Linked DNA regions of Tamandua tetradactyla. The protein of the gene in region 1 interacts with the protein of each later gene in a biochemical or structural test. Links are inferred from orthologs where the notes say so. Each region holds a gene or a part of one and is shown in the gene's direction. Other genes may lie near its edges. The genes, in order: BNIP2 and ARHGAP1.

What was found.
Region 2: the proteins of BNIP2 (region 1) and ARHGAP1 form a complex in vitro, tested with the Homo sapiens proteins (2 studies listed by BioGRID). The link is inferred for Tamandua tetradactyla from reciprocal best matches to the Homo sapiens genes BNIP2 and ARHGAP1.

The regions. Positions count from the first base shown.
Region 1 is NC_135340.1:75,549,422-75,553,327, reverse strand, and holds the start of BNIP2 (BCL2/adenovirus E1B 19 kDa protein-interacting protein 2), read left to right. Parts: upstream 1-946; 5' UTR 947-1,138; intron 1,139-3,906.
Region 2 is NC_135334.1:123,409,889-123,413,794, reverse strand, and holds the start of ARHGAP1 (rho GTPase-activating protein 1), read left to right. Parts: upstream 1-1,306; 5' UTR 1,307-1,438; intron 1,439-1,444; exon of another isoform or gene 1,445-1,631; intron 1,632-3,906. Other genes in the region: ZNF408 (zinc finger protein 408), read right to left, coding at 319-590, 886-1,041, 1,113-1,284. UniProt on the Homo sapiens protein: GTPase activator for the Rho, Rac and Cdc42 proteins, converting them to the putatively inactive GDP-bound state. Cdc42 seems to be the preferred substrate.

The DNA.
Region 1 (3,906 bases):
GACCAGCCTCTCCAAGATTATCAATTAATTACATCCCCCTATCCTTTAGTGTGTAGCCAGCCTTTCTCAAAATGAAAAATGCAGAACAGGCATTGCCCAAAGAGCCCTATAGTTCAGGAGAAGGTTAAAGGAGGAGTAGTTATAACAGAGAAAATAAGATTTAACAAACGAGTATGACTGCTAAGTCATTATATTCTTCTTCTAGCCTCCAGTGTTTTGAAGCAGCTAGAAGGAAAAATCTGAGATGGTGGAGTGGTAGCCCATGACAAACTCTGGGATCTATTCTGCAACTATTTGTTGAAGTATGCTTTGAAAATTGCTTTCTTTTCTTCACTTTATTTATTTTACAAGAAAAAATTTTAAGAAATACTTAATGCCAGAAAACTGTACACTTAAAATGGTTTAAGTGATTTTGTCATATGTATTTTTCCACACAATCAATGTTCAAAAAATGTGACAAAATGAGCACCAACTGTTGGAAAAATGATGCAGATAGGACTTGCTAGAGGCAGGGTTCCCACAAACCCTCAATTAGTAAAAAACAAAAACGCTGTATCTGCAAAGCGCAATAAAAGGAGGTATGATTGTACATAATTTCTGTAATTATAGTAATGATAAGCCAAAGGAAAATAAAAATGGCTCTTTGGGAGTTGAGGGACGCCTGCCAGCAAATAAGAATGGGCTGGGAAGCGCGTCTAGCGCTAAAGACAGCGCCAATGAGGCTTTAACTCTACCTTCTGCCCAGGAGAAAACCAGGGAGGCCCCTTGCGCATCCCCGGGATTCAGCCCGAAGGCTCGGAGTTGGCGTGGGTCGTGGGTCGGGTCGGCTTGAGTTTGGGGTGACCCTGGGGTAGTCTAGCAGACCGCCAAGACTCCGCCGCCGCCTCCTCGTCTGAGGGCTGGGGTGCCAGGAGAAGGTCGGAGTGTCGTCACTTCCGTTGTGCCCGATTTCTGCGTCCGGGTCAGGGCTACAGCCGTCGCCTCCGCCGCCACTGCTGTAGCCACAGTCGGGAGCCTGGGCCCTAGTCCGCGCCGTCCACCGAGCGGAGCCGGCAGCGTCTAGTACGACCTGGCCGTCAGCCGCACGTCGCCGGCCTGGAGAGACGAAGAGCGCGAGGGGGCCCAGGCTTCCTCCGGGGTGAGTGCGTTCCGGTAGGGGCTGGTAAGGTGGGCCTGGGCTGGAAACAGGCCTGGGGGGCGGAGGGTCTGAGTGGCGCCAGTCCACCGGCGCCTGGAGAGAGGAAGCGCGGATGGAGGGTGGGTATCCGTCGTTTAGAGCGTCTTTGAACCTGCCCGGAGGCGCTTCCCGGTCCCGCCCAACTTAGGTCCACGCCCTTGGCGCGGCTCCTGTTCACTTTTGCCACCCTTGCCCCCCACCCCTTTACTGTTTGTTTTGGTTGTGGTGCTCGGGTTGGGGCCTTCTCCCTCCCGGGAACCCCGCACCCACACACCCTGGTCTGCATGCGTGAATGGGCCACGTTGGTCCCGTGTCTATGACTGGTGACTGTCCTGATGCAGAACAAAGAAACTTGGACTGGTGCTTTGCCTTGTACCCTCGGGGAATGGACACGGAAGCGGCATTAGTAATTCCGGGACAAGCCAAGCCAAACATAGGGTGTGCACAGAAAAGCCAAGTCCCTGCCTGGATTCATATACTGTACGCTTTGTACATAAATACCCGGCGAAAAACAGATTGGGTTTCCGGGGTACATCTGATGCCACCAGGGATCAACTCTATCAAGTCATATAAAATTAAAAATTTGTTTTTTACTTTGTCACATTGCTATCGAAACTGCTCCCTTGGCTGCCAGGAACTATTTGAGTGCACAGCTTTTGCTGTGTTTATCTAGGTATTCACAATGCCCCCCCCATATATTTGGTTAACTGAATCCGTGCTAAGTGTGTGCTTTTCATCCCCACCACTAATTAATTAGGATCTCTGTTTCTCCTAACTCTTAATTTCTTTTTATTTAACTAATAAATCTTAACATACAAACATTCCATACATGACTTACAGTCAGTGGCTCATTATACTATCACATAGTTGTGTATCATTTTTTTATTATATCTGTATAATGCGTAAGAATAACCTCCAGGATAGCCTCTCTACTCTGTCTGAAATCTCTCAACCACTGAAACTTTATTTTGTCCCATTTCTCTCTTCCCGCTTTTGGTCAAGAAGGTTCTCTCAATTCCTTGATGCCGGATTCCAGTTCATCTGGGCTCTCTGTCCCATGTTGCCAGGGAGATTTTTACCCCTGGGAGTCATGTCCCACCTAAGGGGAGGGAGGCAGTGAGCTCACCTGCTGAGTTTGCTTAGAGAGAGGCACATCTGAGCAACGAAAGAGATTCTCTGGGGTGACTCTTAGGCCCAGTTTTAAGTAGGCCTAGCCTGTCTTTTGCAGGAAAAAGTCCCACAGGAATGAACCCCAAGATTGAAGGCTAGGCCTGTTGACATGGTTGTCCCCACTGCTTGCCTAATGCATAATTTCTTAATTATTTTTTAATGAAACATATTCTTACTCTAACATAAAAATTTCAGCAATTCATAAATGGGTGTTTCCTCTAAATTATAACAAAGTAGGTAGTACCTTACAAAGTAGTTTCTTGATCTTGTACATTTTCTCCTACTCTGTTTTTGTCGTTTTATAACCTTGATCTTCATAATCTCCTCTATTGCAACCCAATATTATAAGATTTAGGAAATCCAGTGGCAAATCTACTTCTACAAACGTGGAACTTGAACTAGATCAAGTTCTAGTTCAGGGGTTTTTATAGTCTATAGACTTCGCGGGACCTTTGAAGCTAGACTTATTCTGTGTAAAGTTGCAAGTGAACTGAAGGCAATGTGCTGTATTAGAGACAGTTCTGGACTGGATCTGGAAACCAGAGGATTAAACTTTGTAGTGTCAGTGCCTCATATATAAGATAAAATGGGGATAATAACACCAGTGTTTTATACCTCACGAAATTGTTGGTTGAAATGCATGTGATGATGAATGTAAAAATAATTAGTAAATGTGAAAAGCAGTGTTTGGGAAAGTGGTTCTCTTCTGTTCAGTCTGTCTGGGGTAATGCTGGTAGAATGAGCAGTGAGGGCGGAAAAGGTTTTGAGAAATACAATGTAGCCAGGTACAGTGAATCAACCTTAGTTGGTCGTAATAAAAAAATGTTTTGTTAAGTTTACATCTTATAAAGCACTGTGCTAATGTAATGTATTATTGTGATAGTAATATTCCAAAATTGTAATTTTTATTACGACCAATATTTTAAAACTGTAAGTGTTAGAGATCAGTTATTAGACTTTAAAAATTTCAGCCTCTTCTGTATGTTCTGCATTCTGATAATTCAGTAAATGTACATATTGTTCTCTTCTTTTGTGTTTGTGTATTAATGTCTATGGCAGAGGATTTGTCATCTCATGGATGAACTATTTATGCTTTGCTTTATTTTCACAGTTTGAGAAAACTCAGGACCATTCTAGTTTTTCTGTAAATTGTATGATAACATTCCTAATAGAGTATCTCATTGTACCCTTAAAAACCTGTGTGATCCTGGTTGCTCAAGTGTTTCAGCGGTAGAATGCTCGCCTTCCATGTGGGAGACCCAGGTTTGATTCCTGGACCATATACCACTCTCCCCCCCCCCAAAAAAAACAACTTATGTGTCCTCAAGGGAACAATGCCGGGTAAGCATTTAGGGATTTTCTAGAGGTGTTTCAGTGATCTTTGTAAACATATAGGCTGGTTTAAAGTATTTTCCTATGGTACTACCAATGGCCAACCTCATATGAAAAACTGAACATATTTAGAATTAAAATAATGAATATATTTAGAATTAAAACGTTTCATTTAAATGGAGACGTGAACAGTTTGCCTGAGCATTTCCTTCTGCAAACTGTCCTAA
Region 2 (3,906 bases), on another chromosome or scaffold:
TTACTTTACAGATGAGTTAAATGAGGCATGCTGTTTAACGAGCTACGGCGACAAGGGTGGGATTTGATCTCATCCCTTTTTGTCACAAACACCTTTGCTATAGACCTTCGTCAATGCTAACGCTATACTAATAGTCTTTAACAACATTTTGCACCATTCCTTCGCCACTGTAAGTTGGGGAGGAAAACGTTCCTGGAGAGAAGGAATAAAACCACCTTCTCTCTCTTGCCTCCTCCAACAAACGGGAGGGCTGGCTATCTGGAAATATCTGAACCTCCCCAAATTCTCAATTAGGCGAGAAGTCCTATTCCTCAATACCTCTTCTTGTCGGGATTTCGATCCCTTGTCCTCTGAAAAAGAGTCCTCTTCCAGAGGCCCCCAGAGCAGTCCCGGCTGCAGGGGCTCCCCGACACACCAGATCCCCAAGCGCTGCTCCACGGCGAGTGATGGGCCAAGGGCCAAGCCCCGGGGGAGGTTCTTTAGCGCGAAAACGACTCCGACCGGCCCTAGCGGGAAGTCCCAGAGACCCTGAGCGCAGCCTTCTCCCGGAGGGCTCCATCGTGAATCCGGACCCAGGCGCGGCTCGGGAGCTGCAGGGAGATGGGAAGCCGACAGTGAGGGAGCAGCCCCAAAGGGCGTGGGGCAGGGAAAGATGCGACGGAAGCCGCAGGCCCGGCCAGACCTCCGTGGCCTGGCCGATCTGGGAGGCTCTAGGGAGGGGGTTGCTGAGGGGGCCGTGGGGCTCAGGGGCTCTTGAGAGTTCCCCGGTGACTGTGAGACGCTGGAGGAGGATCCCGGGTTCAGGAGGATGGGAGAGAGCTGACCAGAGTACGCCAGGCCCAGACCAGGCCAGGCCCGAGGGCCGCTGATAGGCAGGGCGCTCACCAAGTCGCGGCCTCTTCCCCTCCAAGAGCAGCTTCTCCACCTCCTCCATCCTGGGTCGACAACCTCCCGCCGCCGGAAGTGAGCGTCGCCTTCTCAGCTCCTCCCGGAAACATCTACCGCCAAAGTGCCTCCCAGGCAAGAATCCTAGGATCGGACCTAATTGGTGCACAGGATCAAGAGTTTGGGAGAATCCGTGAAGGAAACCTCTGTCCGAGGACAATACCAACCTAGGATTCCGGAGGTCCACCAGGGATTAGCGTACCCGAGGAAGAGGAACTCATTTTTCCAGCTTCCTTTAGTTGGGCAGGAAGAGTCGGACCGTTGTGCCACTGCCTGCCTGCCTGGCGGGTACGTGGGAAGGCACGTGCAGGAAGTAGGCGGGGCTCTTGAGATGGCCATGTTTGAACCTGGCAGCAGGCCGGAAGTTGGCTGGAGGTGTGGCGGAAGTGTTTGGGGAGTGAGGCGAGCCGAGAGCGCGGTTCCGGTTCCTCCGTGAGGCCGGAAGTTTGTCGAGCTTTGACAGGCGTGGCAGAGGAAGCAGTGCCCGAGCGCGGTGAGCCTCAGGCGCGGGGGTCGCCCTGGTGGGGGTGAGGTGGGAAGGGGAGGAAAGCAGCTGGTCAGGGGCCATCCGAAGGCTTGGGGTTCTGGCAGGAAGGGCCCGAGCGGTTCTGAGGAGGGGTCTCAGGTGTGGGATCAGGACTGGCGGCCTGGCCTTCCTGCGGCGGGGATCTGATCCGGGAGCCGTGGTGAGACTTCGCCCCGTTCGCTGCCTTCCTTTGGCCGTCCGCAGGGCAGAGTCCAGGCCGGACCGCTGTCCTCGGATACGCCGCTGGGAGGGGGACGTCTCCCTGGTCCCCAGTGGCGAAGCTCTGAGAGCAAGACATTTGAGGGAAGAGTTTCTCCCCGCCGCGCTCTATTCTCGTTTTCCTCAGCTGTGAAATGGGGCGGTCACCCCGGACCCGGGTTTTGTCAGCCGTGAAGCCCTGTAGGCGGGTGGTTGCCCCCGAGAGGCCGGGGTGTATCGCGGCGGGCTCGGGTTTGCTGTCCTGGAGCGGCGGCCCTCCTCGTAGGAGGCGCCCTCCAAGCTAGAGAGGTCGGGTCGCCGTCCCTGTTCGCCGGAGAGAAGCTTCGGGGAGGGGCTTCAGCTTGCCCTTTTGTGCCCCGGGCTTTCCGTCTGAACCTTGAGAGTCTGTCTTAGCGCTTCGTTGAGGGACTGACCTTCCCCGGGAGACGACCCCCCCAGACAAAGACTAAAACCCTGGCTGCTGGCTGTAGGACGCCAAGCCGCACGCTTATTATTATTATTATTTTCTGGGGGTGGGGGTCTTCACTAAACTCAAACTGTAAAACGGGCTTAATAGTTCATCACCTACTGCACCTTTGGTAAGTTAAAAGAGGTAAAATGTGTCCAGTTGCAGGGGTCTTTCAGGCCCTCAGCAATGCTGAGTCCCTTCTCCACTTAGTGAGTGAACTAGCCCGTTCTGTCATTCAGCATCTCCTGTCCTCCAGGCTTTCTTCTGATAAGGCCAGGGGTTCTTAAACGAATTCTCGGAGAGTATGTGAGCCCCTTAAAATTGCATGCAAAGTTTCATGCCTGTGTTTTTCGTAGGGAAACCACAAATTTCGTTAGATTTTCAGAGGTCCAGAACTTTTCAAAACCTCTGTCTGAAGTGATTCTCAAAGATTTTTGTAAAGATTTACCTGCAGAGAAGGGAAAATTTTATCCCAGTAGGGAGTGTGCTGCACTCACTGGGCGGGTCTCCCGAGTGCTGGGGTCTGAGGCAGGCTGTGTACTTCATTTCCACCCTGTATGTTAGAATTCCCTGCGCTAGCTTCCCTCATGCTCCCACTGCTTGAGAACTAAGCTTCCAGGTTCAGAGAAGGCAACAGCGTCTATTTGGAGGGCAGTGAGAGAGGCCAGTCCGGCTGGGAAGTGGAAACAACTTGATTAGTTATGTTGGAAAAGAGGTTGTTAGGGTGGGGGCTGGGGTCAGTTCTGGATGAACCGGCAGCCTAGAGGAGGAGTTACTAGAACAGAGGTGGAGTTGGAGTTCAGCTCCCTTGTAGACAGCGTACTTGCCCTCCCCCCCCCACCGTCATCTCCCAGCTGCTCCTCCTAACCCTGGCGTCCCCCTCAGCACAGACATTTTAGGGCGCTGGTGCGTTGTATTTCTGGGAGAAGGCTTCACTTTATGGATGAGGAAACTGAGATCCAGAGAGAAGGACCTGCCGGCATCTCTGTGGTGCAGTGGCTTAAGCAGGATGATTTGCCACTTCCCCATATCCATGCTCCTGTGCCTTTTCCTACTGTGGACAGAGAGGCCCGAGGGGCGGCGGTGGGGAAGGCTGAAGGAGCTCTTGGGGCCCGGGTAGTGATCACAGGAGGGATGGGAGCAGGTCAGGCCTGGAGGGGGTAGTTTTGCATTGGAGTCTGTCCCTGCGGCCCACCCAGCTGGGTGCCTTTGGAAGCAGGCATCGACCTTCTGTTCGATGGGAGGTGCCTGTAGAGGGAACAGGCTGAGCATGGCCTGCGTGGGGGTGCTGAGGGACAGGGTGGGGTGGGGTGGGGTGGGGTGGGGCCGGGCTTTAGGGGCGAGGGACTCTATAGTACTCACCAAGAGAAACACACTCCCAAATACAGGAGGGCATATTTCTCAGCGTTCCTGGGAAAGGACTTATATTTGGGGGTAAGCAAGGGCCATGGAGAGGGAGAGTAGGTGAGGCGGGGGGAGAGGAGGAGGAAGTGGGTTTTCTCTGGCGGTCTGGCCTCTTGGCTTTGGCTTGCAAGCTCGAAAAAGCTTTTACCACTCAGTTGGGTGTCGTTGCCCTGGTAACAGGGTGGCTGTTGCTAGGCACAGGGAGAGGCTTGCCATCCAGAGACCTTGGCTCCAGCGAGCCTGCAGGAGGCTGTCACGTTGTGGCAGAGCCCAGAGGTGTTGCCGGCTGTGCAGTTCTCCCCCCCCCCCCGCCCCCCTCTGCACTCTGGCTGTTCTCATCTGCACTGCCGACTCCCAGACCATA